2 linked regions of the Zea mays genome follow. The protein of the gene in region 2 binds, or shares a complex with, the protein of the main gene of each other region. Links are inferred from orthologs where the notes say so. Each region holds a gene or a part of one and is shown on either strand. Other genes may lie near its edges. The genes, in order: Exosome complex component RRP41 homolog and Exosome complex component RRP4 homolog-like.

What was found.
Region 1: Exosome complex component RRP4 homolog-like (region 2) and Exosome complex component RRP41 homolog share a complex: the UniProt entries of both Arabidopsis thaliana proteins name them as parts of the RNA exosome complex. The link is inferred for Zea mays from reciprocal best matches to the Arabidopsis thaliana genes RRP4 and RRP41.

What each region holds. Positions count from the first base shown.
Region 1 is NC_050103.1:68,996,013-69,012,302, reverse strand, and holds Exosome complex component RRP41 homolog, read left to right. Parts: upstream 1-6,075; 5' UTR 6,076-6,130; coding exon 6,131-6,187; intron 6,188-6,267; coding exon 6,268-6,314; intron 6,315-6,444; coding exon 6,445-6,505; intron 6,506-6,991; coding exon 6,992-7,033; intron 7,034-7,114; coding exon 7,115-7,182; intron 7,183-8,736; coding exon 8,737-8,815; intron 8,816-8,889; coding exon 8,890-8,926; intron 8,927-9,803; coding exon 9,804-9,920; intron 9,921-10,005; coding exon 10,006-10,091; intron 10,092-10,267; coding exon 10,268-10,357; intron 10,358-10,472; coding exon 10,473-10,517; 3' UTR 10,518-10,974; downstream 10,975-16,290. UniProt on the Arabidopsis thaliana protein: Non-catalytic component of the RNA exosome complex which has 3'->5' exoribonuclease activity and participates in a multitude of cellular RNA processing, maturation and degradation events.
Region 2 is NC_050097.1:3,985,004-4,001,275, forward strand, and holds Exosome complex component RRP4 homolog-like, read right to left. Parts: upstream 9,729-16,272; 5' UTR 9,649-9,728; coding exon 9,494-9,648; intron 9,387-9,493; coding exon 9,285-9,386; intron 8,937-9,284; coding exon 8,891-8,936; intron 8,508-8,890; coding exon 8,418-8,507; intron 8,048-8,417; coding exon 7,982-8,047; intron 7,145-7,981; coding exon 7,076-7,144; intron 6,693-7,075; coding exon 6,261-6,692; 3' UTR 5,893-6,260; downstream 1-5,892. UniProt on the Arabidopsis thaliana protein: Non-catalytic component of the RNA exosome complex which has 3'->5' exoribonuclease activity and participates in a multitude of cellular RNA processing, maturation and degradation events.

The sequences.
Region 1 (16,290 bases), on a different chromosome or scaffold from region 2:
TATGATCTTGATTCGATCTGATTCTTAAATTTTATAGTGTAAAATTAGAGCTCATTATCACCCGTACTCGCATCACATGCCATGCCGGATGAACTGGAGAGTTCTTTTTAGGCCTGAGCCACGAGTTCGATTTTTGGAGGCAGTGTTACAAACCACAAGTCGTGTTAGATCGTATCGAACATATCACTCATATGGTCACCCAAAACATTGTTTTACACTGTAAAATACGTTGTTTGTCAAGTGTAGTTTGAATGTGGGTATAGAAATAGATAAGTTGTTGTATATAGCCTTACATGTTACATTTTGGTGTGGATAGCGTACACTTTTAAGAGCATTTGTTGGCGTATGGAGACCCACTGAAGCTTCCTGGAATGAATGCTTGACCGGCAAGCTACCTGGCATCATAATCATAACTCATAAAAAAAACGCCCCCTAAGAAAATTTTGGTTCTTTCGGGTAATTAGGTTAACCGAGGTTGAAAACCAAATTAACCAATTTTTGGTTTAGGTTTCTGTCCTAGATCTTCCGTTTGGCTTTTAACATTTGGTTCACTGTGTTCAGCCCTAGCCATGAGATTGAGTTTAACCCCATGTCTTGTTACCCTATAAGCTAAAATTTAGCTCTTGTTATATCAAATATTTAAATGGTAATTACGGATATTAAATATAGTCTAATTATAAAACTAATTATATAGATGAAGACTAAAAGATGATACAAATTTACTAAACTTAATTAAGTCCATATTTCATACTCCTAATTAATATTCAAACGTATGATGTGACACGTACTAAATTTTAGTCAGGGGAACCAAACACAACCCATGGTAGTGGGCTAGGCACCAACATAAGTAGTTCATATACTAGCATTTAGCATATGGTTACTAGTAGATGTCCCGCCATCTATCATTTGGCTTTCATACCCTACGTCCTATCAACTCTAGTTGGATCTCATTTGTGGTTTAATAAATTTCACATCCGTAGATTAAAAGAAAAATAGAGTAGTGCATATTCAAGAGTATTGAACTAAATAAATGTTAGGGATCATTCTTTTAATATATAAGCTACACAATCTTGCCTAATTCAAAATCCATGGGAAAGACACTATTTGCTACAATAGTTTCAAAAAAATCCCATGGGGTTGTTAGTTATAATTCATTAGAATTATTGCACATATTATTGTCCAAATATACATGGATTTCAAAGGATCGTGGGGAAATCAAAATATAGTGAACATGGTGATGCAAACATTTATTACTTGATATATCAAAATAAGAATGGGACGCTTGGCCATTATTTCAGTCTCCATATACACTATTAATCTCCTTTATTTATCCAAAATACATAACCACATTTATTGCACTAGATATATCTAGGTATATGTTGATATTTATATTTATTAGATCAATCTAACTTACAAGGGACCACACTATCTACAAATATACAATGCATGAATAAAAGATCTCATATGAATATATGCATTTATGAGGAGAAAAAAAGATTGCAAGAAATAAATTATGAACATTTACTTCATAGCAATATATATGCATGGTGCCACTATATTACGGAGGTCCTCAAGACCACAAGTGAAAATAGTATTGGGGAGCATACTTTTCTAATTATTGTTGTGTATGTATCAAAAGTCTTCCCTCTACTTGTAGATTTGCTTTTGCATATACAATACATGCTAACTTATATCTTTTGCATATGATTTGATATATGTAGGCGCAAATGGATAAAAATAGTTCAAGTGATTGCAACAAAGAGGAAGAAATAGCCTCGTCTTTGCCTAAGAAGCGTAGAAGGATTGCTAAAAGCACCCCTACCAAGCCAAAGGAAAGAAAAAGAGGGTTTGGGATTGCCAAGCTAGAAAGGATGAGAATAGAAGAGGAAATAAAAGAGTATTTTGAAGACACCCATAGTCCGTCACCAATTCATAGAGTTGGCATCCAAGGCTTGGTAAGCACAATTGTAAGGATATTATCCATTCGTGTGATTTTTACTATAGCATTGTGTCTTATATCATGTCATGGATTACCTTCTTTTCTTTGAAGCACATTTATGAGAATTGACATATATATAATGATTGTTATATTATTTTGCTTATGCTACTTCTTCATTTATCTACCAACAACTTTGTATTTTTTGGCATTATGTGAATATGTATGTATCACTACAACAAGGATCTTCTTGCATGCATTTTAGGTAAAAGGTACCCATCACAGAAACTATTTTATCGGAGAAAATCATCATATGTGACAATGACACATATATTCTAAGGCTAGCATACATCATAATTAGAGATAGAAATGGTATTTTTCAAGGCTAGATGATTTTGTTATAGATTTTTGGTATTAAGGAAAGGGGTTGAAATGTTGCCCCACTACCCATTGAGGTCTTATTACTAGCCTTGTATTCATGCTTCAATGCAATGCCCAAATATTTCGAACTTTGCGTTGTATGAGCCTTCTATTGTTACATCTATTCAAACCTAAAAGCGCCATTTTTATAAACTTGTACAAACTTTGCATGTGCAATACCAATAACATTTCTCCCTTACTATGATGACCTTAGCATTGTATACAATGGTGTCTCCTATGTGGATCACGATTGGACCTCTTCTATTTATTGTAGATGATGTATGGAACAAGAAGAGAAGAGATGAGTGAACGGTTCAAGATTCCTATGATAAGGTCATCTTATGTCAATCCAAACAGCATGATTCCTACACAACTGCATCTCTTTGAAGCACCTAATCATATGGTATGTATTTTGCTCTTGGTCCTTATTTGTCTAGACCAAATTTAAACCATCATTTTCGGTAGAATTATTATGAAATATTTGTGCAATATTTTTTCCTACCATGGGTAGCTTTATGAAATATATGTTCAATGATATATGCACAACACTAAGAAAAAATGCCCCTTAACACTGAATTACTCGAAAGTCCTAGACAGTGAACATGTGCATGGTATTCAAATACATAGGCTATCAAGCTTAGTGATAATGGGTGTGTTCTAACTTCTAATATTTATAGGAATATGATCATATTGACATGAAAAGGAAGGACGATGGGAACCTATTGGAGGAGTCCACCAGCAAGAACTTCAATTATGACCCACAAGAACTTGATCTTGACTTGAAGCTATAATCCTAGAACTCATAGAAGTGTCTAGTCCAATCATTCAATATGATGGTGGTTCCAACATTTTACAAAGTGAAATTGTATGAGTTTGATGCATGGTCTTGAATTTGAGAACCAATATTGGTTCTATAAACTAATAAATAATATGTGATCAAATAGATCAAGGATTGTTCCCTTACCCTGAATCATAAGACTACATATTCTTGATTAAATTGATTAAATAGTATATTTAATAATTTATCTGGTTGCAATTTTTTGCTATGAAGCAATTAAATGTGTGTTTCATGTCATGAAAAAGTAAGATTTTGGAATATAATACTTCTTTATTGATATATGATGTGAATAAAATTCTTTGATAGAAATAGAGAAATGTGACAAGTGTGTTGCATGATAAATATTTTAGGCATTTTTTAAAAATAAAGAATATTATTCTTTATTTGTTGTATAATATATTTCGAGGTTCTTTAAGAATGTCATGTAGCTTTATAGTTAGCAAATGGTGACATTGGTTGTTATTGTTGCATGATAACATTAAGGTATAAAGAGTACTAAAAAGATAGTTTATAGAGAGAGGGGGTATAGGTCGACGGTCATGCCGAATCTAAGCACAACTAGGATCCAACACATGGATAATTAGAAAGGTTTATACCATAGTGCATGTAATACCCTATGTTCTCTTGCTAATTGATTGATGAACATAATGATGAATATTACACGCTCATACATAACCGAGTATCAAGACCTTCTAGCTCCCCTCACTTCTTGGTTACGATGGAGGTTATAGCCTAATGGTCCCAATCCACCTTTATGCTTGCCCTATATGGAGAGTGAATTCTACCAACTTTGAATCGACCTTGGAAGAACCTGTGAATCCCTTGGGTCTAACCCTTTATCAATCTTGAATCACAGGGTCTTACCCTTTATCGTCCTTCAGTCCCTAGGTCTAACTCTTTATCGATCTTGGATCCCTCTAAGGGCTTGTTCAAGTAGGAGGGGATTGTAGGAGATTAAATCCCTTTCTATTCAAAATTGAATAGAAGGAGATTTAATCCCCCTCAACCTCCTTCAATCCCTATGCAACCGAAGAAGGCCTAAATGTTACTTTGCCCCTCCTTTTATAGTGTAAGGGAGGAGAGATGTTACATGGACCTCGAATTCCACTGACTAAAGCCCAAATGTTTCGTCCTTATCATGTTCTTGGATTCATACTCAAGGTCATGCCTTTGGTCATGGCATATTGTCAAAGATGTCCTTTAGTAGTCTCATGACATACCTATCGTAGGGGAGGTTATGAATGTCATATCCACGGACATCGAGCCCATGTTATTTAGTAAGATGTAGTTGGCAGTAAGTGTAACCTTCCATACTTGATAATTCTTTATGGTACATCTACATGCGTATGTGTGGCGACATGGTCAATGCAGATACTATATAGTGGTCTCGAGTACCCTACAACCTAAGTCATGGCAACACCGCGCTTTTCAGGGCTGTAATGGCGCACATCACACCTAATACTTATTCAATAAACAACCGCTATAGACTTATTAGAAGACCTTTTAATTGGGGGTCTCGACCTCAGGGTTGTAATGTCCTTAGTGGGTCTAGACACATCCTTCAGCCTTATGACAGGATTGTACTTAGTTCGCATCAAGTCCCTTGTTCCCACAAGGCTTTGGGTCTCAAAGGGTTTAGAGCATGTTCGCTCACATAATGAGAGGGTGAGGACCTTAGAGCAACTCCAGTAGTTCTCTAATAGACTTCCTAAATCAACAATTTAAGTAGTTAACACAAAAACTCATCTCCAACAGTTCTCTAAATGAACTTTCTAAATTTAACAACTTCTCATCTAACCTTATTTCATCTCTACATTTGGCAATCGTTTAGCAACTCCCTAAACAAAAATGTTTGCTGCATTATGTAGATAATGAAGGTAATTGATGACATTTGTGACTTTTATTTTTTTATGTGGATAGATACAAAACAAAACTACAACCTATATTTAGAGAACTATTGGAGAACTCACATTTTTTACTCCCAAAGTTATTTAGCAACTTCTTAAATCTGTGATTTAGAGAGCTAAAATTTACATAACTATTGGAGTTGCTCTTAGAGCATCTCCAATAACTCCCCAAAAGTCTCCCCTAAATCCAATTTTTTTGAAAAAACACAAAAATGTGTCTCCAACGGTTCCCCTAAAGCGCTCCCAACATTTTTATAGCCCTTAAAACTCTCTCATTTGTAGCTACAAATGAGGAGTTTTTTGGCTCTCCAGAAACAATCTGTCGCTTTAATGGATCTATTGGAGAAATGATTAAAATCTACCCCCACTAATTATTTAGATGTCCCTTAAAACTGATTTTGAGGAGTCGTTTTCTGGAGAGCTATTAGAGATGCTCTTAGGGACCTTGGGACCAGCAGAGAGCCCCCAAACATCTAAGTGGTGTTAAGTGTTCGATGTTCCGAGTGATGAGTTGTTCTGAGCACTTGAATCCTTCGGAGCAAATGGGACCCAAGAGGCACTAAGGACAAGGGGAGGCCCTAAGGCATCAGAGGCCCTAGGGCCTAGTGGGTCCCGGTCCCTTAGTAGCACTTTACGAGACTTTATGGTGTATGTTCTTTTATGGTGTCTCGATGTCAAGTTAATCGATGTCACAACATTTCCAATACAATTGGCTATGGAATTGGACCTCCATTTTCATGAACACAATTCAAGCGTACACCCAAACAGACCTGAATAGAGTTGGGCTTGGGGACTCTGAATAGAGTTGGGCTTGGGTAGTTGAGATCCAAATTTCCGCCTTCAGGCTCGACAAAAAAAAGGCTCGGGTGACAGGGACACCGCGGGTGCAGGCCTCCAGGGGCACGGCGATGGGACAGCACGACTCTCTTCTCTGAGAAAACCCAACAAAAACCCTCGCTCGCCTCACTTGTTCGCTCACCTCGGTGCGGCGCGTCGTTCGGACACGGAGATACAGCGGCGATTCCGGCGATGGAGTACGTGAACCCCCTCACCGGCTTCCGCGTCGACGGCCGCCGCCCCAACGAGGTGATGCATCCTCGCCCGCTTTCCCCTACGCGCGGTTCACGCGAACAGCCCTATCTCACCCGGTGCTGGACATCACGCAGATGCGGCAACTCAAGGGCGAGGTCGGCGTCGTTGCGCGCGCAGACGGGTGAGTTAAGAATCTCTCCCGACTCTGATGGACTGGGTTGAAACGAACAGCTAGCTATTCGATAAGGGTTGGGACGGCGGTACGGTGCTCACTTTTGATCGGTTCTGCTGGTGTTTGTTGCTCTGCGCAGGTCGGCGCTGTTCGAGATGGGCAACACCAGAGTCATCGCCGCCGTCTACGGCCCGCGAGAGGTGATTCCCGTTATCCTACTTGTGTATCTCGGTGTCCACCAGAGTCATGTGCACTGCGTGTTTGAGGAAATGCCTCTTAGAGGGGGTTTCCATTTACTCGTGTACTATATGGTCGGTCGAATTCTCTGAACCAACATCGACTTTGATCTAATCTTCAGTAGTTTTTCCTAGTGAAATTGGGGATCATTTGGAAAAACTGACTTGCCTATTGTTTAAATTTTCTATATGCATGAACAGTGTGAAAACCACTAGGATCCATACTGGCCTATTGCCAGTAGCACATTATTTGTTTATACGTACACAATGTTCATTCCTGAGATGTACTGGAGAACTTGGAATTATGGAGATTTCAATCACTCATGTTCTTTACTTCCTGTCAGACTACTAAACACCAGGGGGCTTCACCTTCTATTGCTTTGTTGTACCTTCAATTTACTTTTCAGTGTAACCAAATAACAAGTTCATGCTCTTTGATTGCTCTTTCAGGTTCAGAACAAAGGTCAGCAAGTAAACAGCAAGGAGGCTTTGGTAAAGTTTCACTCCTCCAAGTGCATTATTTTGTTAGAGGCTGTTCTTTGTGCTGTGTTCCTGAGGGAGTTCTGTATGCAGGTTCGTTGTGAGTACAGGATGGCAGAGTTTAGTACAGGAGATCGGAGGAGAAAACCGAAGGGTGACAGGTACTTTCCAACTTGAACACAGTAAAATTTGATTAAAAGAAAAGTCCATCCTTGGGCATTCACAGCATTTGGTTCACTTACTATCAGGAAAGATTTCCGATGTTGCAAATGTGTTTTATTTCTCTACCTTATCAACAAGCTTCTTTTCTCTGAATCCTGTGTTTTTGGGATCACAATTGACTTTCCCAATACAGTAAACAATCCTCAGTGAATGTATGGGTGTCAGATGTTTTTGTAACAGTATAATAGTTGTGGATGGCTTTGTAGGCCTCACATGCCAATCTCTTTCTATTTACTATATTAAGCATCAGTTTCCACGGTTCCACGGTTTTTTACTGTCGTCGTGCTCCCCCACATTTAAATCGAAAAAGATAAAATTATGCACAAATGAGAATTTGAACTATGGTTGCTGGCTCCAAACTCACATTCACACCCACCTAGCCAAAGAACACACATGTCTTTGTGTTTTATACTCTATACTCAAGCATAAATGAAAATTGTAGCAACTTACGGGCACTTTGCTAGTGTCACTGGAAGCCTGACATGTTCATCCATCCCAGTGTGCAGTGTCCAAGGTTATTAAAACGATAAAACGTTGAAACACTCATGGGTGAAGTTTTGACTTTTAAACGTTTAGACAACATAGGAAAAATACCAATATATCATAATTTCAGACAATAACATGAAATTAAATACCAAAACAGAGAGGTTTATGGATTACCAAAACTTCACCCATGAGCTGGATTGGACCCCAAAAGTAACTAACAGACTGGACCCAAAAGTAGCTAATGGTCTAAAACGCATGAAACACTGCGTTTTACAGTTTAGAACACCAAAATACGGTTTCAACCTCTAATTAGAATTTTGACGTTTAAACTACGTTTAAACGTAGTTTTAATAACACTGGCAGTGTTGACAGCTGTAACAGATGATTAGTCATGAGATTGGTGATTGGTTTGTTTTGTTTCTTCTTAGGAAATTTAGCATGTTTGTTAGATTGGTTTCTTAGGCACTGAGATCTCAAAGGCATCGTCTATTGAGTTTGTCAAGCAAACAGCTCTCCCTAATTCATCTAACCTGGTTTCCGCCTCTTGAGAGGGTGAACTTGCCTCTAACTATATTTGCCTAATTTTTCAGTTCCAAGCCATATCAGTAATATAAGTCGTGTTCAGTACCTTGATCTTATCCGTTTCTTAGTCCCTTTCTCTTTTTGTTCCTTTTTCTCCCTTTGTGTTGTACTTATGAACTTATTTTTCTCTATGTTCTAATATATTAATCTTTAGGGGTGTGACGCTCCTGTTTCCATAAAAAAAATAGGCCATGGTTAAGACCAGGAATTTCATGAGTAGCATCCGGTGTAACAAACAGTGTTGCATTTCTGCAGTATAATTTAGTTGACTTGCTTTAGTTGCTGTTGGGGTGAACACCTAGTGTGCAAAATCGATATAAGCTGCATGAACTGTAGTGAACTTAAGTGGATTCAGCTTGAAGGTACATGGTGTTTCATATCCCATATAACTATGATACTGAACTAACACTACAATCATCTTACAGGCGATCAACAGAAATTTCTCTTGTTATTCGACAGACAATGGAGGCAAGCATATTAACACATTTAATGCCACACTCACAGGTCGGTCCTTTGAAAAACTTCAGTTTTATATGATATCAGGGCCAACTTCCAATGCTTATTATACTTTTTTGCAGATTGATATATATGTCCAAGTTCTTCAAGCTGATGGTGGTAGGTGTTCTGCTTTCCTACTTTCTGATTGTTGAAGTTGCTTCCAGGCGTATTCACTCTCAGAACCTCTATTATTTATTCTGGAACAAAGTTTGTTTTTTGTTATGTACTAAAATGAGGTCAAGGAAGAGCATTTTTCCCGTGGCCTGAGTAGATCTAGATTTATGGTTTGCATGATGAGACAATCTGGGAAATGTAACCAATTATGTTGTGTGCCTTTTATACTTAGCTACATTACCCAATATAGCATATTATTCTTTGCTATCTTAGTCTATTACTACTCATGCTAAAGACGACATGTTTAGTAGATAAGTGTTGCCGAAGTACTTATGTTTTGTTGGATCTGTGGCCATACAAAAATGGATCGAGTCCGAAGCGACGATATACGTGATAGGCTAGTGGTAGAACCAATTGAAGAAAAGCTTATCTAACATCGGTTAAGATGGTTTGGGCATGTCAAACGGAGAACTCCATATACACTACTGCGTAAGGGGATTCTAAGGAGCGATAGTAATGAGAAGAGAGGAAGGAGAAGACCGAAGTTGACATGGAAAGAGGCGGTAAAAAGGGGCTTGAAAGGATGGGATATATCCAAAGATCTAGCCTTGTGTAAGGAGTGCATGACAAACAACTATACATGTACCCGAACCATGACTTGTGGTTTCTATTGGGTTTTAACTCTAGCATACCCCAACAAGCTTGGGATAAAAGTCTTTGTTGTTGTATGACATATTATTCTTTTGCTTCTTGAAAATAATTTAACATATATTATCCAGTCATGCTATAGCATATTATTCTTTCGCTTCTTGGAAATAATTTAACCATAATTTGTGCTTCAAGATTATTGTCATGTTGACCATGACCATGTGTACAACAGGAACAAGGTCAGCTTGCATAAATGCTGCAACACTAGCTCTTGCAGATGCTGGGATTCCAATGCGAGACATTGCCACATCATGTAGTGCTGGTTATCTGTGTTCTACTCCTTTGCTCGGTAAGACACCTTCCTAATTTTCATATCTTTAACAGTAATCTTATGGTATAAATAAAAGTCAAACAATTCTAATGTACTATGCCAGATCTGAATTACCTCGAAGACAGTGCTGGGGGTTCTGATGTCACTGTTGGCATTCTTGCAAAGATGGACAAAGTGACTTTGCTTCAGGTAGAAAGATCATGAATCACATTCTTGCCGCCTCAATTCTCTGTCTCTAGGCGCAATCGTATTATATGCTTCAGTTTTGCTCTCTTGTGAAATACTTCCTTTGTGTTTGATTTCTGCATAGTATTATTCTTTTGTTAGCATCAGAAGGAAGCAGCTTAAAAAAATGCCTTTTTCAGATGGATGCAAAATTACCAATTGATACATTTGAAAATGTAATGGGACTTGCAATAGAAGGGTGCAAAGCAATTGCAACTTACATCCGAGAGGTAAACAAGTTTTTGTTGATCTTCCGTTACTTGTTTTGTTTTCTGTTTGCATGGACTTAGGACCTGCCATTGACACGTTGGAACTTCTGGGTTGTTGACTATCGTTCTGGAACAGGTGCTATTGGAGAATACAAAGAAGCTTGAGTGTCAGCGTGGTTAACCTTAGGAGGTGAATCCCACTTGCCCAGTCTGTTCTACGCTTGAAGTCTGGCTGGCGGGGTAAAACTAACTGTATTGTTCTACGGTTTATCTCCGTACAAGGCAGTGCAGGCAGGTTGATGACCTGAACCTACCCAACAACGGACATCACACAGCCCATTAAAAGGCTTACTGGTTGTGGTTGTGGGTGGCTGGCTCTAGTGCAGTGCACAGGAACTTCCAACGGAGTATGTGCAAGTCGTCAGAAGTTGTTCAAGGCAGCTTGTTTGTCATCATCACCAGGGATACAAGACATGCTTCCTCAGTAAGGTGTTATCGGAATTTTTCGGTTCCTGTAAACTGATATAAATCGATGGTGGAACTGTACTGATAATCTTCCGTATGGTGTTATTGGAATTTGTGTGACAGTTCCTGTAAACTAATGCAGAGAGAGAGATCCAGCGGGGCTCCTGCCTCCTAAATCACTCCCTCCCAGATTGTGGGGTTTTTGTAGAAGCATTTGCGGGCGTGCCGTAGTGCTACACTACTTCGTTATTGCCTCCACCCCCAAACAGCACCAACGAAAACACGGGGAGATCCGAGACCCTACTGAAACTGATAAATTGAAGGCGACGATGTATTGCTAACTCTCCGTAAGCTGTTACTAGATTTTTTTTTTTTGTGTGGCAGTGCCTGTAAAAGGGCCTACAAAACCCCTCCCTTGCTAGTTCACAGCCACCTTGTGCTTATCCTTGGATCTGGAGTCCTCAAGACTTCTGTCTCTGATCAGTGTCACTCTTTGGCCGCTGCTTTCCTCGCCTCCGGGAGCTGGACCTTGCCGGCGCTGGAAAAGGTGGGGGCGGACTTGAGTTGTCATATATACTCTAAAAATTCTCAGTTTAACCTAACTAATCCGGTAACCACTGAAATTGCACAATCGATGCTACCCACAACGAACAGAACAACTCTCAGTTTTTTTTTGCACGCCAGAATCTTGCCTCTGCATCATCAGCGCTTGGATACCAACCCGACAGCTGTGAAGAGGATGAGTGAGCGGTCGTCTTTTAGCCACTGTCAATCGTTCACTCTTCAAAATGCTGTTCGGTCCGAATAATGGCTAACGATATGTGACCTCTAACTAGAGTTTTGATGAACACTGCTTTTAATTGACCACCAGAATAAAAAAAACACACATCCAGATGACAAAGTAAAGACCTTTAAAGTATGACGGAACTGATTACAGAACCGAGCTTCTAGCAATTAGATACTGCGAACTCATGCATTTCATCACACTAAGTGAATGACACAGCAGTGTACATGGCAAACCCGATTAAGCCGTCTTCTTCTTCTTCGATTTGAGCATCACAAGGCCCACAAACACGCTCAAGAACGAAAGGAGAACCACGCCGGCCAGTACCGGTATCAAAATCGCATACTCTTGAGGCAGGAAGTACTTGTGCACAAAGTGGTCGCTGTCGACAAATGGCTAGGTAGGAACAAGATATAACCATTTAGAAACGAAGTCATAGTAGTTCTACTTGGTCTGAAACTGAGGGGGGGTGGGGAGCTTGGAAGCCACTAACCAAAATGATGACCCAGAATGTGTAGTATGTAAATAAGGTTAAGCTTGTCAGAGTCAGCAGAAAACCGACCGCCTTATCACCCAGTTCCATTTGTCTGAAAAAAAAAACAGTAGCCATTAGATACCTTGTCAGAGCTATCAAATGGCAGACGGATGGTTGTCACAATCCAAAGCAGAAAGAAGTTGTTCCATGGCGGTCACTTCACTGTTTTGGCAGTACATGTACACCCCAAACGAGTGCAAGAGAACAACAACAACAACAACAAAGTTTTTTTGTCCCAAGCACGTTGGGGGTAGGTTAGAGATGAAATCCCATATGAAAACCTCAGAGCTCAACCCCAAAGAAAAGAAAAGGGAGACAAAGACGAAGGAGAACCGAAAAACGATGAAACGGGGAAACACATAAATAAAAAGAGATAAAACCCACAAAAACCAGCAAGATCTAAAGGGGCGCAAGAAAAGGTCAAACGAGGACAAGCGAAATTACAATAAAAAGAAAATAACAGTTAAAACAGAATAATAGAAGTTTAATAGCACTCAGTATACTGGATATGCTGCAGTTCCTAGTGCACTGCCATATCCACGCAAAATGATAGTAAACATAAATCCGATATTACAAATTTAGAATAGCGACGCCACTAGGCCCGACTGTTACAAGTGCAAAGCATCAAATACAACAAGTACAGTGTTTCCAACAAGTGCAATTCATCTTGGCTGGACAGCATTTTTCTATTTACGTTACTTTCACATGTTATTAGCTTAAAGTTCAGGAGTTCTTTCCCGCATATTGAAATCTGGTTTTTAAATAAATGAGGTTTAGGACATGCCTTGTCCTAAACATCATATATTTAAAAACCAGAGTAGTGCGTTTTTCCATCAAACATGCAGGAGCAAGGTTTTAAAGTCGTCCGACTAATCACGATTAGTCTGCCTTATCGCTAGTCCGAGCTCAATCAGGGTCTCCGACTCGACTAGAGCAACTAGGTAGCGATTAGTCGTCTTAGTCGCCGACTAATCGCAATTAGTCGTCCGACTAGGGGCTATGGTCGACCAGTTATGCCTGTTTTGGGCCACTAATCCGGCCTCTGTTAGGCTCCGTTCGGTTGTGCCCAACCAGGCCGGGTTCGGTCTGGATTGGGGGGCAATCCAGGTTGAAATCCGACCCCAGTAGAAATCCCGGTTTCTAATTTTTTTTTATGTTCGTTTAAGCCCACTAGAATTTTAGCCCATAGGTTTGGAAATTTTTTTGGCTAGAGAAGGTACTGGATTGGAGCCACGACCCGAAGGGCCTGGAAACAAATCCGAAGCGGGTGACACGAAGAAGAGCAGCGGCGGCGCAAGCGAGAGATGAGATGCTGCTGAGCGGCGGTGGCGCAAGCGAGAGACGAGGTGCTGCTGAGCGTCAGCGGCGACGGCAACATCTTCCCCGCCGCTAGCAAACTCTACTGCACCGGCAAGCTTCTCTCCGGTTGGTCCCTCTCACTTTAGCTAGGGTTCTTGAACTAGAGTCATTTCTTTCTTGATCCTGATGTTCATGGTACTGGTGGTGGCTCCGAATCCACCGACGGGGATGGGGGAGGGGCCATGGGTGCAGGCAGTGGGGCAGCCCGGGGCCACGGTTGGCGTGAGGCCATGAGCACCTCATAGTTTCCTTTTCGAATCGATATGTTCCCTTTCTGATTTCTGCCGGCAGGCGGCGACGTGGGGCAGAAGACCAAGGCGGCTGCGACCACCGGCATGAGGAAGGTGAAAGAGGGAATGTCGCAGGGGTTCCAATGGATCAAGGACAAGTGCCATCACGGCGGCGGCAAGAAGCAGCAGGGCTCCGAGGCCCCTAGGTACTACTGACCCCTGTCCTTATCGCATTAGCATTGTTGCTCGGCTTCAACACGCTGTCTGCTGCTTCCGGTAGACAGCAAATTCTTTTTTTGGTGCTTGCTATTGGTATGAATAGTATACTGCATATAGGTTGTGGGCCGGTGATCCGATATTGGTGGTGTTGCAGTTGTAGAGTAAGTTTCTTCGTACCTGATGTGTGTCGTAGCTACTGAATTGACCACTTCAATGTATATAAAATGATATTTATGCACTTATATTTCTCTGCTCATATTTTTCATCTAAATGAAGGACGATACTTATATTTCTCTGCTCAGATTTTTCATCTAGATGGAGCCCTTTTCCTGTCTCATTTGGGTACCCTCAGTAGTCTAATAAACTAATATTTTTTAGGATAATAGGATGACAATTTCTTGTATACCACTGTAATCTTGTACTATGTCCATTCTGCTACACTCTCCTCCATACATCTTATGCTTGGCAATTGGAAGCAACCAGCCAGAAAATGAACTACCCAATTGCTCATCCACTTTGAGGCATATATGTTTATAAGGCTCACAGAGTAACCAACTATAGCCAGCTGAGGAATCTAGGGATGTATGCATTCTCTATAATGTATTCTCTATACTATAATAGTGTAATGAGATTACTGAAACCAACATACTATTGAATTTATCAAGTAAAATGTAAAGTTTGGAAAAAAATATTTACATTGACTTCATATGTCAATTTTGTTAATATTATATTATCTACTGGTATAACCTAGTCTCTAGAGACTCCAAAAAACATTCAAAATTCATTACTAGATCGTTGTCATGGAAATGGTGCAATAGCAAGCAAAAGATTGCATGACAAGCAAATGTTGATTTTTAATTGCATGACAAGCAAATGCTGAGCATGAAAAAAACATTTGCACTTATTAACCACAATGATTGTTTCTGTTTTCTACTACTGCATGTACACTTGGAAATTAGCAGCAATGCCTATTATATACTTGTCCATCTATTGTTGTGTTATTGCTTCACATTTTTTCTATTGCAGCTTGCTTTGGTTTATTGTGCATATTCATTCATTTGTCTCATGGTGTTCCAGGGTCCAAGGATAAGAGAGAGAAATTCAAGTCATGTCATGCCAGTTGATACATCATTAGGCTTGGTAGAGTTTGAAAGCAATTGTTTGATAAAAATCTGATCATTGGATGTTGATGTTTGTTTTTATGTCCGTTTTTTAAATATATGTATTGAGAATCATGACATGCATGTTTAAATTTAGTGAGAGATACAATTGTATTTTCTATGTTTAAATTTTGTACAATTGTATTTTCTATGTTTAAACTTTGTTAGGTTTTATTAGCTTTTGTTGGTTTTCAAGTTTAGAATTTGATCCACATGGAATAAACGAACAAACATAGTTGATTGGGTTTTAGGATATAATTCATATGGAATAAAAGAACAATATTGGTTGTTTGGGTTTAGAGATTTAATCCCACAAGGGATTGGGTGAAAGGCTTGGATTCACCCAATCCATGTGTGGAAAAGAACCAGACCACGAAAAATTCCCAAGCTGCCGAATGAGGCCTTATGTGGGCCGGCCCATGTACACACCACAAACACTGTTTTGCCTTACGCTTCTACTTGTACCAATATGGTACGCACTGTCTCGCGGGCGCCCTCCCCAGTGCCGCCAACCCTTCTCCATCGTCGCGCCCTCCTCTCCCACCACCCTGTTGTGCGCTCTGGCAGCCCTCTGCTCGAGCAGCAACTGTGCCCCCTCCATCGCGCGGCGGCTATAGTCTGCAGAGCCACCCCCCAGCGCGCTCCCATCCTCCTATGTTGTCTGTTCAGTGGTTGAACAGGCGAGTAGGCGACCACTCCTCATCTGTTTAGAATTCAGAGACCGAGATGAGGACCTCTTCAAACTGTAATTGCTCTGATATTTTGGTTGTTCGGTGTTCTTTGTTCACTTATTGAGCAGTATTGCGCCCGCCTTGGCCTCCTCTTGAGTTGCGCTTCACTTGATTGTTGTGCCACTGCAGATGAGAATAGGAGGCAGCGTAATAATGTCGAAGCCATTTCCCTAGAATCTGTGTTGCCGTAGGCCCAGAACGATGGCAGTGGAACTGGTACAGTTCATGCAGTCCCGCAGTCCTACATCTGTGCGTGCGTACGTGCGCGCGTGCACGCGCGTGTGTGGCTTGACTATCGAGCAAATCGACGACTAATCGCGATTAGTCACCTGGCTCAGACGACTAGAGTCGACTACCTGACTTTAAAACCTTGCGCAGGAGAGTTGCATGTCATCGCACAATAAGCAAAGATAATAATATCAAGGCTAGTTAAAAGCCACACGCCACCACACATGACATGATGACATGATA
Region 2 (16,272 bases):
TAATCCGATTTTTATTGAAATCTATGGCACATGGAATGCATGACATGCTACAGAAAAAACTATGGCACATGAAGAGAAAGGGAAGCTTACTGAAATCTCAAATCTCAAATTGGTAAGCATTCAGTGAAGAGAAAGGGAAGCTTACTGAAATCGGAGGGTTGGGCTACTGGATCGACGACGCGCAGCACCGGGTCGAGGAGCGCGCAGGGGTACCAGGGCGGCGGCGCACATGGCTCTCGGGCGGCGCGGCACAGGGCTCCCGCGCGGCAGGCAAGAACAAGCGCGCGAAACGCGGCAAAACGTGTGCCTGTGCGCGCTGCGAGTGAGGACCGCGTCCTGGCTCGGTATTAATTGGAGTCTCCTCTGTTGTTTTGCCTACACACGACAGGAGCCATTGGATCGTTGTTGGAGGGCAGATACGGAGGGGCAAGGTACGTGGTGCCTTACCTTGGCTAAGGCACTGAATCTGGATCCACCAAATCACCCGTCACTGATACAGCACTTGGTCTTGACATTCTTTATAAAATGATAATAAAAGATAAACTCTTCCTATCTAGAGAATATGATCCAAATATGTTTTTCGATGCCACGTATGTATATTTTATGATGATGATGATGAGAGTAATTTATTTTAAATTTGATTTAAAGGTTTTTATTAGTATTGTATTACCTCTGTCTCGAATATTTATCGTCAGCTAGTATATTTTTAAACTAAAACGCAATTTCTTTATTATTAAAGCAGGACAGAAATGGCCTCTATGAGGCTATCCACGTCGCCAAAAATTCTTCACACCGTTGGATTGTGAATCAATGGCTTCTATTCATCGCTGTATCGGTGGCGTGTGGAATATGCTCTTCTCGCTCCTTCCGCTTCTCGAGACTTCCATGGTTGGCCCGTGCAGTGCATGCCTCTCCTCGCTCCCTCCGCCTCGTCTCTCTCTGAGTCCCTTCGTCTCTCTGCCAGCTGCTTCACCTTCTGCCGCTTTGATCGTCCACTTCACTTCAGCACAGTCACGTCGTTTATTGTCGCCTTCATCGTCTGCTCCAGTGTTTGGTGATATCCATCGCTTTCTTCGTCAGCTCCACTTCCTCGTCGAGTTGCTGCTTGTTTCATTGGGGTTTCTAAGTTCCTCTTGCTTCCTTATATATTTACACATTTTAATCTTCCCTGCACTTCAATGTGAGATGTGGAAAGGCTTGCCACAGCTAGATTTGTGCATTTTTATCTAGTCAGCTTTATTTGGAAAATACACGCCAAAAATGACCACTCTTTTTTGGGGGTCAATTCAACATTCCGCTTCCCTCCCACTGTTTCTCTCTGCTCTTGAATCTACGATGTGTAGACTTTGTTATTTTAGTGTTTTGCAATTTCATTTTCCCTTGAAAATATAGGGAACCTCATTGCATTCTTTTTGGATCGATGGATTCCGTGGCCCATAAATCCCTGCTCTTCAATTTACACCCTCCGTCTTCATCTGCAACCTGCTTCGTCTACCGTTGTTTTTGTCAGGCTATGAAAAAGGTTTGTTTTCTTTGTCCCTGATGCTTTGTGCTTCTACCAGATCTAGTTCCTTCAGCTAGATTTGCCAGTCGCTTAGATTTTTGGATTTGTTCATCGCCTTAAACTACAACCGCTTTTCGTCTCCGTCTTCTAGTGTCTTCGGCGTAAAAGGTCAATCGCCCCGCCTCCAGCAAAATGACTTCATTTTTCCCCGACTTTTGTTACGGTTAGTGCTCTTTGCTGCTGACTCCCTTGTGTCTGTTATCCAAGCTACGATTTCTCCCCCAAATTTAAGGTTTAGGGTTTATGTTACAAAGGAAAAAGGAAGGATACCAATGAAAAAAACCCTCACTGTTACTTGTTGTTCGATTTAATCCCTGGTTCTTGTACTTCAAGCCTTGAATTTGTTTGGTTTCTCCCCCAAATTTGAAGTTCGGGACTAATGTTATAGCAAAGGGAAAAAGTAAGGAAAGCAAGACAAAAAATCCTCCCTGTTACTTGGTGTTTAGGGAAAAAAACCTCACTGTTACTTGTTGTTCCATTTAATCCCTGGTTCATGTACTTCAAGTCTTGAATCTGTTCGATTTCTCCCCCAAATTTGAGGTTGAGGATTAATGTAACAGGAAAAAGTAAGGAAAGCAAGGCAAAAAAAAATCCTCCCTGTTACTTGGGGCTAGTTTGGAAACTCAAATCCCCTCCAATCCCGAAGGGGATTCGAGGTTCCCAAAGTAGTGTTTGATTTAATCCCTGGTTCTTGTAGTTCAAACCTTGAATATGTTCGTCTTATTTTGTGTAGTCCTTTTCCTTTTTTGGTCCCCGGCACATGCTTCACATGATCTGTTACAAATTTGTGGTTGGTCAATCCGTTGTTCCCCACGTATATTTTTTAAAACTTCTTTACCTTGAAGAGTTCTTTTCTGTCCTATTTTGTTTGGTTTTACCCACACTGGTTTCGGTTCCCTGCTTTTCCTCTGTTCCTGTTTTCAATCCCACTCGATTATGCCCAACTTAGTTTGAATTCACAGTTATTTTCAATATGGTAAGGAAATGTTTGCTACTTATATATTAGATCGCAGCCACATTTTCATCCACATGCTCTCACTTCGAGATTTTGACCCTTTTTCCACGATTTTCAATACGGTAAGGAAATGTTTGCTACTTATTCCCTGTTGTCCATTATCCAAAGTATGGTTTTTAGGCCAAATTTAAGGATTACTGTTTATATTACAGAAAAGGACATAGGAAAGAAACGAGTAAAAAAGAAGGAAACAAATTCTTTCAGCTACTTGCTGTTCGATTTACTTCCACATCTAGGATTAGTTGTTCTTTTTTTCCACAGCACCCCCCCCGGGGCATGTCTCACTGGAACTTTTACAAATTTGGGTTTAGGGTACATAAAAGGTATGTTTTTTACACCATCAAGTTGTTGATTCTTTATCACTTTAAATTGCTATTGATGTGTAAAAAGAGTTGATTATGTGTTCCACATAAATTGCTAGAATCCTTTGTGGCTACAAAAGAATTGAATCAATTGATTATAGTTTTAAGCTGCTTCCATTCGCACTGGTTGTCTGCTACATGGCGCGTAGTGATTTTACAGTTACTTTTCTTGAACTAAGTTTAAATGCTCCGCGTCTTATATGTACTGTTTGTTTCTGCTCTTTTATCGAAGCACGTGGAGTGATACCTCTGCACCTCAGTGGCTTTATCGGCGAGGCTTGGTTGCTGAGGTAATTAGCATTAGTTTTGATCTACTTTCCTTCGTGCTGGTTGTTCACTAATAGATTAATGTTTGATGTCCTGTTCGGCCTAGGATACTTACCAGTGTGTCTATGTGTTCCACCAATATACTGCATTATGCACGCTTGCTAGTTTAAAGTGTGATTTCGTGTACAGAACACAGTACAGAGCTTCTTATTTAAAAATATTTGTAACTTTAACAAATCAACTCTTAGATATACAACCTAATGAAATATATTCAATAGGCTCGATGTGTTCTAGCATATTCCGATGTGCCATGCAGTGCAGAGGTAAATTCAGTGTACTTACATGCTTAACTTCTATATATACTAATGAAGATAGATATCTGTATACTGTTAATGTCTCTACAACAAATGATAAAAACATGTTTTCCAAGTTAAACACCTACAAATTCTTCGGCACAAAAGTGCTCTCCCACTTTGGACTACCATAGTAAGATAGCAATGTTTATCTTATCGTTCACAAGTCATCTACAAAGACATGGATCAGCTGACCAAGCTCGAGCTACCATCGCCTCCAAAAAAGTAAGTGTTACAAGATATTACTTAGAAAATGAGAACAACGTCTACTCATCAATTTCACAGCCGCAACTTCTATTCCATACTGATACAATAACAATGCATACAAGATGAAGCATACCCAACTTAACAAAGAGCTACCATATTCTATGGGTTCAAAAAATGAAGACGACTAGCCCACCACGAAGCACTCGAAGGTATAACACCGTCTAAAATCCTTTGCATACTATCCTCATGTTTTCCTCTTATTCTCCTTTGTACCTGTTACATATTTAACACACTTTCAGCCTAAATAATCTTACTCCTTTTCTCATGTATGTACAGGTATTGGTTTTTTGCAAGCATTAGAAGAGCTCCATCACTTTTTAATATAAAAGCCTTTTGTGTACATATGAACCAACTGTTGGAGCATTTCTAAAACTGTATTGACTTATGCAACCTCTAGAAACACACTGTTACTGCATATTGGAGTACACTGCTTAAATGCTACTTGATATATATTGTAATTTCATTTGATATTACAAATGCGGTTAGCAACCAAATTCAGCTATAAATTTCGTAAGCATGTGGCGCCTTATCCGACAAAAAAACACAAAAGAGCAAAGCAACAACTTTTGCTTACGTCATAGCATGTTTCCGTATGCTTATTTGCTTCATAACAACTCTTATACATGTTCATGTACACTTTCTTTACATTAAACCATGTTAATGGACCCAGCACGCGCGCAAGGGCGCGCAAAATACACTAGTAAATAAAAAGAATAAATGGAGTACCATTTTCTGCTATGTTTCCTAGAATCGCGACATTTTTATGTTATGTTTCCTAGGAAATATGGTGATGTTGCAAAAATTAATGGTGTGTTTGGTTTGAGGAACGAGGTAGTCAATCATCTTCTCACTCTTCAAATTTTTGTTTGATTTGTGGAATGGAGTGAGTTAATCTATCACCACCTTATTCCTCAAAGTTAGTTGTTTAGTACTAATATGTGGAATGGAGTCATCCCACCAAATTTAAGGAATGGACCCATGATACACCACTTCATTTTGAATAGAGTGATTCATTAAACCAAACACCTCATAAGAGAGTGTTTAGTTTCTAGAAACTAATTTTTTATCCATTTATTTTATTTTAATTTATTTTAATTTTTAGTTTTAGTTTCCGAGACTAAAATAAAATAAAATAGAACAAGCTCTAATATGTTGCAGTCACATATCTCTATATCGTGTTTGTCAACACGAAGACAGTAATTTATTTGGGTCTACCGTCCGTCATCCACAGACCGCACGCATGACGCTCGATTCGACTAGGGATGTCAATTCTGCCCGCGGGCACGGATATTCACGGGTTTCATACCCGATGGACATGGATACGAATAAAAAATCTCGTCCACGGGTAAGGATACGGGCAACACTTCTCACCCGCGGATAAGTGACGGATATAAAATTTTACCGGCAGGTATTACCTGTTACCCGCTTAATTTACTAGTCCATCAAAATATCCCTATACCACCGGCCCACAGGACACAGCCCAGTCGATCATGTTTGTGGACTTATGTTTGAGATTTATATTTGTAGATGATCGATCATGTTTGTGGACTATGTTCCTTGCCATTATATTATGTTTGTCAAGTTGATGTTCTTGGTGAAATGAACATGACCACATACTTGTATGATATTTTCTAGCGGTAATAGGTTGCTCGATATCTGCGGATATCCTGTGAGTACGGGTCAAAAATTTTATCCGCAAGCTTTCACGGGCACAGGTAAGCACTAGAGGCGCGGATATGTTGACGGGCGGGTAAATGGCTTACCCGCACTTTACCCGACCCGCTGCTTGCCATCCCTAGATTCGACCTTATGCGCTGTGTCCGATATCTGGAAGGATCGTATTCGCGGTGCTACCTGATCAGTAACTCCAGATTTGTTGACGGCAAGGCACTCGTGTAAATTGGTCACTTGAAACTCGACTCCAAGGCAGGCACTCATATAAATGCTTCTTGATAAGGTTTTCACAAAGCGTTGGTGATTTCCACACCCTGTGGTGACAACTTTATAGAGTGGCTAAATGAATTGTTCATATAGCCATCAGGCTAATGCCTTGCACATTTCTCAGGCAACATAATTCATGTTACTGGAATATTCAATAGGAAGAACGTCCAGTTTTTCAACTCAGAAGTGCATCGACTTCAGCAACGAACGGATCAAAGACCTGCGGACCTGCCAGGCACAACACTGCCGGCACCAGACACCATGATCAAATGCATGTACAGCATCAGAGCAGAGAGAACCCCTTACATCTTTGCTAATTGCTACCCGTAAAGGTGTACATAGAACATGTTAACTAATTTTGCCTTAGATACCATCAGATAAGTATTATGGCACTGCTACAGATCTCATGCGGATGGAGCAACGCAACGTGTCAGGCTCTGTTCTCCGCAAATCAGGCAGCCCCAATCAGCAATGACGAGGGCGCTACCTACTCACCTTGCGTCATTCTTCTTTCTCAACAGATCAGCCCGGCGCTTAGCCTCCCTCTCTGCTGTCTGGACGTAAAACTCAGCCCCGAGCATGTCATTTATCTCTACATTTGATGACGCACTTGCTTCCATGGTTTCGATTATCAGTTCGACGGTCAGAGTGAATCCTAGGGCTGAGAGCACACGTACAGAATTGGCAAGCCGGCAAATATGCTTCCTTGTCTCTAATGGGGTGAAATTCTCAGCTTCAGTGCTGAACCCCTGCTGACCTCCTGTCGTTTTTGGTTTTTCACCCACCACAACATGCTCACCAGCCCAGATGAATCCATTGCAACCAAGAATCAAGTCGACATTGTACTTTTCAAGATGATGAAAATGCTGCTTCTTTCGTTTAACCAAATATGGAGCTACCATCAGCAATTGACCCCTCTCCAGCTGCATCAATAAATCAGAACCCCCCCCCCCCCCCAAAAAAAACATATCAGCATCAACCTAATGGGTCTCAGAAAGCAATAGTTTTTTTGGGTAGGACAAGACTTTAACTAGACCAGACACGTACAAATCATAGACCAACTTAAGATATCATCAACATAATAAAGACTAAAGGCATGGCAGGTTAAGGCGCATCTATGAAACATCCATGAGTCTCCCTTGCATTGTTGCACCAAATGATATACACAGACCATTTCTGCAATCACATTAAAGGCATCTACCTTTTACAGATAACAAAAGGCTAAATTGGAGGCATTAAAAGGGACATACTGATAATAGTACAATGGTACAGTAGCACAAATAATGTCATCTAAGCTGGCATGTACCTTTCCATACTTTTCACTCCTTGCCTGTAGGTGCAGAGATCCATCATGTTGGAAGCCTCGAACTTCAGCCTGGTAATGGATTGCAAGCAAAATAGAAGCATACTATTTTAAAACAGTTTGCATAACAGTGTGGGTGGGGGGAAGAGATTGCCCACCAGACTATAAAAAGATAGAGGCCACAAAAGTTCCTTGGGGATGAATGCAAGAATTAAGAAATGAGCGGGAAAAACATTGCAACTTGTCAACATGAGAGAAGAAAGGTGAGGAAAGCACAAAAGAAGTCCTTTCATACAAGTCCACAACACATATGGCTTCTATGCAAATAAGAAAGATCTAGTGTAGGTGTGCAAACATGGTTAACAAAGATGAACAATCAATGGTAACTGTGCCTTGCATCATTCTTTATAAGACTAGTCGAGTGAATATGAATGCCAGATTCATGTTGAAATACTGTCAGGTGAATTTCAACTGTATGATAGAAAAGCAAACCATAAAGATGTTTAAGTAGCGCCTTGAAGCTTGCGGAAGCCTCAGGATTATTAACAATGGAATGTATCAACAAATGAACAGTGTAAAAATGATTCCTCAAAATGCCATCAACCTCAAGCAACAAACAAACAACACCAGCAGTTGCTCCAGGACTTAGGCATTTGCAAACAGGGAAGCGCAAGCAAATAAGATGATTCCTTGACATATAATAATGACAAAAATTGGGCACTGCAACATTGATCATGCATTCTTTGTGGGTGGTGGTGCTGGCATTATAGATGCAGTCATACAGAAGCAAAAAAGTGTCAGCACAACACCCTAAGTAAAAACAGATTTGAAGTCACTATACCCAAATGTTGACTCCAGCTCTAAGACAAAATAACTGCTTGAAATAAATAGAGCAAGTATCACACTTACACAGATAACATCATTTTCTTCAAAGATACTCCGCATATTAAGTTCATCAACAGCAGTTCTCCTTCTCTAGTAGAGGCATTGGAAAAAGTAGTTAATTGGATATTGGACAAGGAATTGCTAGTGTAATTAGTAATGAACTTGGGAATCAGGATAAAAAACTCATTAATTCTTTTGAGCTGACACAACATTAAGACTGTTTGCACTACATAATTTTAGCAAACATGGAAATAGAATAATTTCTTGGTGTCTATTGTCTAATGTGTTGCACTTGCACATACTGATGGTAGAGATTATGCTGTGCTCAAAACTTTAGATGGTGCTTACCGCTAAGTGTTCAGTATTATCTATCCTCCAGAATGATATATGAAACAAACTGTTTATAGCCTGTCGCCCTGTTCAATTTTAAGGAGTTACAGGGCAAAGCAGAAAAGCGCACCTGAATACCATCAGGCAAGTTCATAGATGAAAGCATCAGAACAGCATCTTGGCTAAAATTTATCTCCAACCTCCATCGCTTAGGAGCAATCTTGAGAAACACAAACCAATTAATTGTGGTATAAAATGCAGTATGTTGTTTGCACCATAAAGAAAATAATGTTCAATTCTTGAGTGACAAACATGACTGCTATAAGATTCAAACTTGCTTAATTACTCTGATCGCCGAATGGACATGCATCAAAGGCCATTGGTCATTAAACACCTATAATTAGTCAGAGCTACGGCCTACGAACTTAACCGACATACAGGTAAAATAAGTTTGATCTATGCAGTCTCTGGGCAAACACATTATCATATCTGCACTTTATAAAACATGGAAAAATGTTCTGGATTTCATGATCAAAAACTCTATGCCAATTAAATGTAGAACATCCAAGTATTGCAAAAAAAAATGAGCATGAATTTACACACCTCAATCACACGGCCAACTATGATATCACCAACCTCCGGCTTGTATCTGAAGAGGGGTCAAAGAGAACAAAATGGGCTAAGTTTTTTTTTCTTGTGAGTTCATTTTTCTCAACAAAAAACATGAATAAGTGTGGGGAATAAGATCAAGTAAACCTACTTCAGCGCCAAGAAATATAGGCTTTGTAATATTATTCACCAAATATACGAATCCAGGAAAAACAACCTAGATTTTGCAGGCTAAATATCAACCAAACACTAAATTCAGCATAACAAGTTCACAACACAATTCAGTGTATTTGCCCGCATTGATAAAAATCCAGGACCGAATTCATCCACAGTTTGCAGAGGAATAGGTACGCCATTGGAGAGTAACAGATCAGAGCCGCGCGCGTACCTCGCGCGAAGAGTGCGGACGTAGACCAGCTTGTTGACCCGCTCCACCACCCCGCAGAGCGTCGCAACCACCTCCCCGTCCTGGTCCGACGTCCCATGCCCCCTGCGCCACGAGCACCCACCCATCGGCTGCTTACGGATGGACAGGAAGGGGAAGAAAGAAACAGAGAGAGAGAGAGAGAGAGAGTGTGTGTGAGGGAGGCTCTGTACTTGAGGATGTTGTCCTCTTGATTGACGGGAATGGTGTCCGCGACGGTGACGGCGGCGGCGGACACGGCGGCGGGCGCAACGGACTGGAGCTCTTGAAGCGCGGCCTCGAGGCGGACCCGCTGGGTCTGGTTCAGCGAGAGGTGGCGGTCCTTCATTCCCTGACTTTCTTCTTGGGAGCACCAGAGAATCAGAATCAGGACGAAGCGGCGTAGGCGATCAGGCGAAGCCGCGAAGGTGCCGACTGCCGAGAAAGGAAGACAAGCAGTAAACCCTAGCAAAACCCGACCCGGCGCCAACTGGGCTATGGACCGACACAACCCACGCAGCGGCCCAGAGCACGGTATGGGGCGCGGCCGCCAGCGGGCTGGCGCCAAAAAAAAAGAACGACATAAAATTTAAACACCTTCACAGCAATTCTAGTTTCGATAGGTATAAACACATATTTCTGTAGATTAGTTTCTACCCTATCAAATATTTAAATAATAACTATAAGTATTAAATATAGAAAGTGTTTGAATATGTTAGAGCTAATAATTAGCTGCTAAAATCAGCTAAAGACTTTTAAATAGACTAACTAATAATTGAGCTATTAGTTATATTTAGCAAATTATTTAATACTTAGCTAGCTATTTGTTCGCTAGCTAATTTCTGTACTGCGGAAAAGAAAAACAAATAGTAACTTCACTAGCTCTGGCTCTGGCAGTTTAATACAGGGAAATGGCTCTTGCTCTGGGATATATCATTTATGCCAAACGATTTACGAAATGGCTTCAGCTCTACCAAAAACCTGCTTTTTTAGAAGAAAAAAAACTAGAGCTAGATCTATGTTGGGACAAACCAGAGTCCTGTCAAACATACCCTTAAATAGGCGTGGCGCTTTTAAATCTGGATATCCATCTTGTATCTGATTCTAGGAGTTAATTTTACAAAGAATTTCTCCGACCATGGGATAAAGGTGAAACCTTGAAAGGAGTTCTGTCGGTATTTTGATCCGAGAATCCTACCGACCAGTGAACTAGAAAACGGCGCGCCGCGTTGTAGTACTAGTTAAGATATTCCAGTGCCACCTTAGTAGCTTATTTGTAAAATATTAACAAAAAGATGCTCGAGTTCAATACTTATATTGTGTTGGTTTATAACATAAGATTGATACCATAGCTATATGCTTATATATAGCTCAAAAGATGTAGCGTTATTGCTATAATCTGTGTGCTGATATTAATCGTATTGTATATGAACTGATTCTACTCATAAACACGATACTTAAAAAGGCCACATACTGCAGACTTTAGAATGAGAATCCACATTAACATTTCAATATTAGAGTCGTGATTGAAATAATAATTAAAAAATCAGGAACAGATCATAAATAGAAATCACATTAAAATACAAAAAATAACCACTTCTCTAATTAATTCTTTATAACATCTATATACGCACGTGAATAAGGCTTTTTGAATTTACACAATCCGAAAGGCACTATAAAGCATATACTCTTACAGTTGTTATGCAATATATAAATCTGTGAGCTATCATGTTCAATCTAGGTGCTTTATTTTATCGTTCTTTTTCCCTTTACTAATCTGCGTAGAGGAGAGAGCGACAGGGAACCACACAACTATCACGATAAAATTGAGAAAGATAGGCAACAGCAAGAGCAAAGTGTCGCATGTAGGAAGTTAGATAAGTAGGGAGAAATGTTTAGAAAAAATATATGTAGCAGCAAGTTGGAACTGCATCAGCTAGAGCCTAGAGCAGATCTAGTGGGGAAAAAGAAGGCAACTATTAGTTTTGAATCATCCCATTAAAAAGTGTTAACCCTAGCTTGAACTGAACAGAGAAGAAATCAAATTTTAATCACACCCCAGAGGAAACTATTAGCATTTGGGAGCGGGCACCGAGATCGTCGAGGTGTATAAAGTATAAACAGGCGGCGCTCTCCTCCACGGTCGCGTAGCTACCGCAGATGGAAACCATTTTTTTTGTTACCTTTGCCTTCGCCTGATGTGTAACAGCAAGCGGCTCTTCAAATAGTTGTGTCTCTACTGAAAGAAGCAAGCGGTGGCTCTTCGTATGATCCATTTTTTTATTGTTTATGAGGCCATGCTGAAAGAAACAAACGACTCTTCCTAATTAATCGTATGGTCTTTCTTTTTTATTGTTTATAAGGCCAAGGATATTTCTAGGAGGTGTACGGTGTACCCGTGGTAAGCCAAGGAAGTTCTATAGCCGGTTCCTTTCTTTTTTATTTTTTTGGTAGTTATGTGGCCATCTTCTATTCTCACGATCTACCGTTAAGGCTCTATCCTATGATTCCTTGTTTTGCCAATACGTGGCCATATTGGCGTCTCAAGAATATACTCAAAGTTACTATTGTAGAGATTAGTGTTGCGTGCACAAGCCCTCATAGTGGTGCAAGAAGACACAAATCTTTATCATAGTTCGGGCAGAAGAAGACCCTACTTATAGCAAAGAGGGATGAAACTTATATTACTTGTACCTAAGTGTCTGTAGTAAGGGATACAAGTCCGTCGGGAGATGGAGAAGTTCACAAATCCCTCGTGATTGAGGCAAGTGTCAATATCAGTTGTGGAGGTGAAAAATTGTGAAGTGCCCCCCCTAGTGAAGCCCTGGGCTCCTCTATTTATAGCCTCAAGGAGGGCCTCCACGAGCGCCATGGTTTGTCGCGTATGGGAGCGGAGATGTGTTTGAGCCCCTATAGGCTGTAGCCGGTATGGTATTTGGTATGGCCTTTGTACTTGTTGTTGACTTGAGCCAGGAGGAGGATGTTTGATCCCTGTATTTGCATCTTTGACCGAGCAGAGAGCCGAGGCCAGGGTATGGGGCTCGGATGCGTGTCCCCCGAGCCTCCAAGGAAGTGTTGGCACTTGCTTGGGGTTTTTCCGTCTTTGTGTAGGTATGTTGCTTAACCCTAAAGATATGGTAGACTTATTTCTGATGGGTGTGCACGAGCACACCCGTCGGGTGTAGCCCCCGAGGCCTCGAAGGAGTGGTTGACTCATTCGAGGTCTTTATTTTCCCTCCGTAGGTATTATTGACTTGTCATTCGTTCGTCACATGGTCGTGGCCTATGTGCAAAGGCAGCCCCGAGTCTCTTCGTTAGGTTGCTGGACTTTCCAACAGTTCTACCACAACATGTGTGCAAGGGCAGCCCCCGAGCCTCTACACAGGGCGAGAGGGTGATCAGGGAACTCCTTGACTTTTTAATGATATGAGTCTTCGTCGCCTTTCCGCAAGGAGGAAGAGGGAGAAAGAGCCATGCTACCCTTGACGGACAATGGGCATGGTGTCTACGATGAGTTGTTAACGGGTGATCCGAGTGGAGGCGTGAGCCCCGTTTGCACTAGTACAATTTGGCTCTATACAAGCGGTAGGCTTTTTTACATCACAGGCGGTTCGGTTAGAAACCGCTTGTGATGTCCCAGGCGGTTCAGTACACCTGTGATGTAATAGTATCACAAGCGGTTTTTGTTTAGGACCGCCTGTGGTGCTCTATCCTTTTCACAAACGGACCCTAAGAAAAAACCGTCTGTTATTGTAAAAATATGAAAATACAATTTAAATATGAAAATAATTTAAATTTTTAACAGAAATATGCAAATACAATTTAAATGAATTAATATTTAATTTTTAACAGAAATATGCAAAAACAATTTAAATGAATTAATATTTAATTTTTAACAATAATATGCAAATACAATTTAAATGAATTATAATAGCACACATAGATAACTAGAGAGATTTTAAATTAATTGGCAACCACAATTCATAGTCGATCATACATGATAACAAATACAATTTGATTCATACATTTTTTCATGAACTACCATTTTTCCGCATGTATGGCTTTAAGTTCTTATCAATTTTCTTTTCCACACGCTTGATTCTCTCTGGACCGTTAAAGACGAACATCTCTTCATACTTATTGTATTCCTCATCTTGGTCTCCCACATTCTCAACTCCAACAATTTTTTGCTTTCCAGAAATAACTACATGCATCTTCTCATCTGCTGGATCGAGTACATAGAACACTTGTGCAACACATTCGGCGAGAACCCACATGTCATCTTTATATCCTACTTTCTTTAAGTCTACCAGTGTGAGTCCGTAGTTATCCACTATCACCCCCACGGGATGTTGTACCCATTGGCACTTAAATAAGGGTATTTTCATGCTTGGGCCATAATCAAGTTCCCATATTTCCTCTATGAATCCAAAATATGTGGTCTTCTGTCCATGTAGGTCAAAAGCATCGATACGAACACCGCTATTTTGTGCAACACTTTTCATGTCTTTTGATTTAGTGTAGAATGTGTACCCATTGATGTCATATGCTTGCCATGATGTCACAAAACACGATGGCCCAGAAGCCAAATTCTTCATTGTTTTCTCTTCCAAAGAGTCTCCGAATGGGATGTTTTTGTCCATTAACCATTCGCTGAAACGATGTTTGTGCTCCCTCATGATCCAGTCCTCTGTGCGGTTCTGATTTTCTTTACGAAGCTCATCCAGGTGTTCCTCTATGTAAGGCTCGGCTATCGTGAGATGTTGTAGTACACTACCATGAGCACAATGTACTAGCTTGTAATCCTCAACGCGAAAAGTTTTCTTGCCCATTCTCCCTCTCCCACATAGTTTACCCTCATGTTTAGGTACAGGCACACCTATCATTGTTCCGTCACTGATGTAATCTATACAGCTCTCAATCACTTCTTCTGTAGTGTATCCCTCCATGATTGAACCCTCTGGGTGAGCGCGATTTCGCACATAACCTTTTAATAATCCCAGGTATCGCTCCAACTGAAACATATGATGTAAATATAGTGGCTCTAATATTTTTATCTGATCCACGAGATGTATGATTAGGTGTACTTGTATATCAAAAAATGATGGAGGAAAACACATTTCAAGCTTGCACATAGTCTCGATGATGTATGCCTTTAGATAGTCCAAGTCTTCTAAAGCTATTACTTTTTGTGAAACCGCATTGAAAAAGTAACACAAGCGTGTGATGACAACTTTGACATGCTCTGTTTCGAGGGCTCTTACCGCAATTAGGAGGAACACCGTCATCATCACATGGCAGTCATGAGAGTTGTAGCCAAATAGAGACAAGTCCTTCATCCTGACTAGTCTGCTGATATTGGATGAGAAACCTGTGGGCACTTTGACCCCACGCAAACATTTGCAAATCTTTGTTCTCTCCTCAACTGACAAGTTGTAGCTAGCTGGGGGGAGGTAAGGCTTCCCTTTGCCACTATCCACTGGATGAAGTTCCGGTCTTATTTGAAGATCTACTAGATCATTGCGTGATTTGAGTCCGTCTTTTGTCTTACTCGGCATGCCCAGCAAGGTTCCAATGATGTTGTCAAAAACATTTTTTGTTACATGCATCAAATCAATGATGTGGCAAATTTCCATATCCTTCCAGTATGGGAGGTACTTGAAAAAAATTGATTGCTTCTTGAAAGTTGTGTAAGTTGAAGGGTCAGTTCTCTTTCTCTTTTCTCCTTTGTTTTTTCCCTTTCCGAATACAACATGATTGTTCTTTACAATTTTAAAAACAAGTTTCCCACTATAAGGCTTTGGTGCACCTTCACTTTCCAGTTGATTGTTAAATTCCGCTTTCATCTTTCGGTACTTATGCTGCTTCATCAAGAACCGTCTGTGTCCCATGAACACCAACTTCTTGGATGATTTAAGGTACATGGAAGCAGTTCCATCGACGCACACTACACAACCATTCTTTCCTTTAGTCTTTTGCCCTGATAGTGTGGCGCCACCGGGAGAATCATGGATGGTAACAAATATAATTGCTCTTAAGTTGAAATACTCATGGAAATACTCATCCCATATTCTAACTCCTTCATTCCAGAGCTTTGTCATATCTTCCATAAGAGGTTCTAGGAACACATCAATATCAACACCAGCTGATTTCGGACCTTGAATAAGAATAGTCAACACAATGTACTTTCTTTTGTGACACAACCATGATGGAAGGTTGTACATCGTTAAAGTCACGGGCCAGGTGCTATGTACACTTCTTTTTTCACCAAATGGATTTATTCCGTCTGTACCCAAAGCAAATCTTACATTTCTGGTTTCTTTGGCAAACTCAGGATACATAAGATCAAAAATTTTCCATTGTGATGCATCAGCAGGGTGTCGAATCTGTTTGTTATTCTACTTGCGATTTTCAGCATGCCAACGCATAAGCTCAGCCTCCCTAGGATTTGAGAACAAACGTTTTAAGCGATCAATTACTGGAAGATACCACATCACCAAAGCTGGGTTCTTTGACTTCTTTTTCCCATCCATGTCATCAAAAGTGTCATCGTCACTTTCAGGTCCAATAGTGGATTTCTTGTTTTTATTTTTCTTCGGGAATTTTTTTACACAGTCTTGATTGTAGCTCTTCTTGTATTGACTGACATTGCAAACTGGGCATCTTGATGCGTTCTCAAAATCGCCACGATACAGAATACAATGGTTCAGACATGCATGAATTTTTTGCACACCCAGAGCTATGGAAGATATAAGCTTCTTCGCTTTATAAGTGTTTGTTGGTAGTTTGTTGGGTTTTGGTAGTAATTGGGACAGAAAATTCAAAAGATCTGTGAAGCTAGTATCAGACCATCCGGCGCTAGCCTTCAACTTCAGAAGTTCTAGAACTGTACGCAGTGTAGTAAACTCTTTGTCACAACCCTTTGATTCATCATATAAAGATTCTTTTGAAGCACTTTCCAGTCCCTCCATTT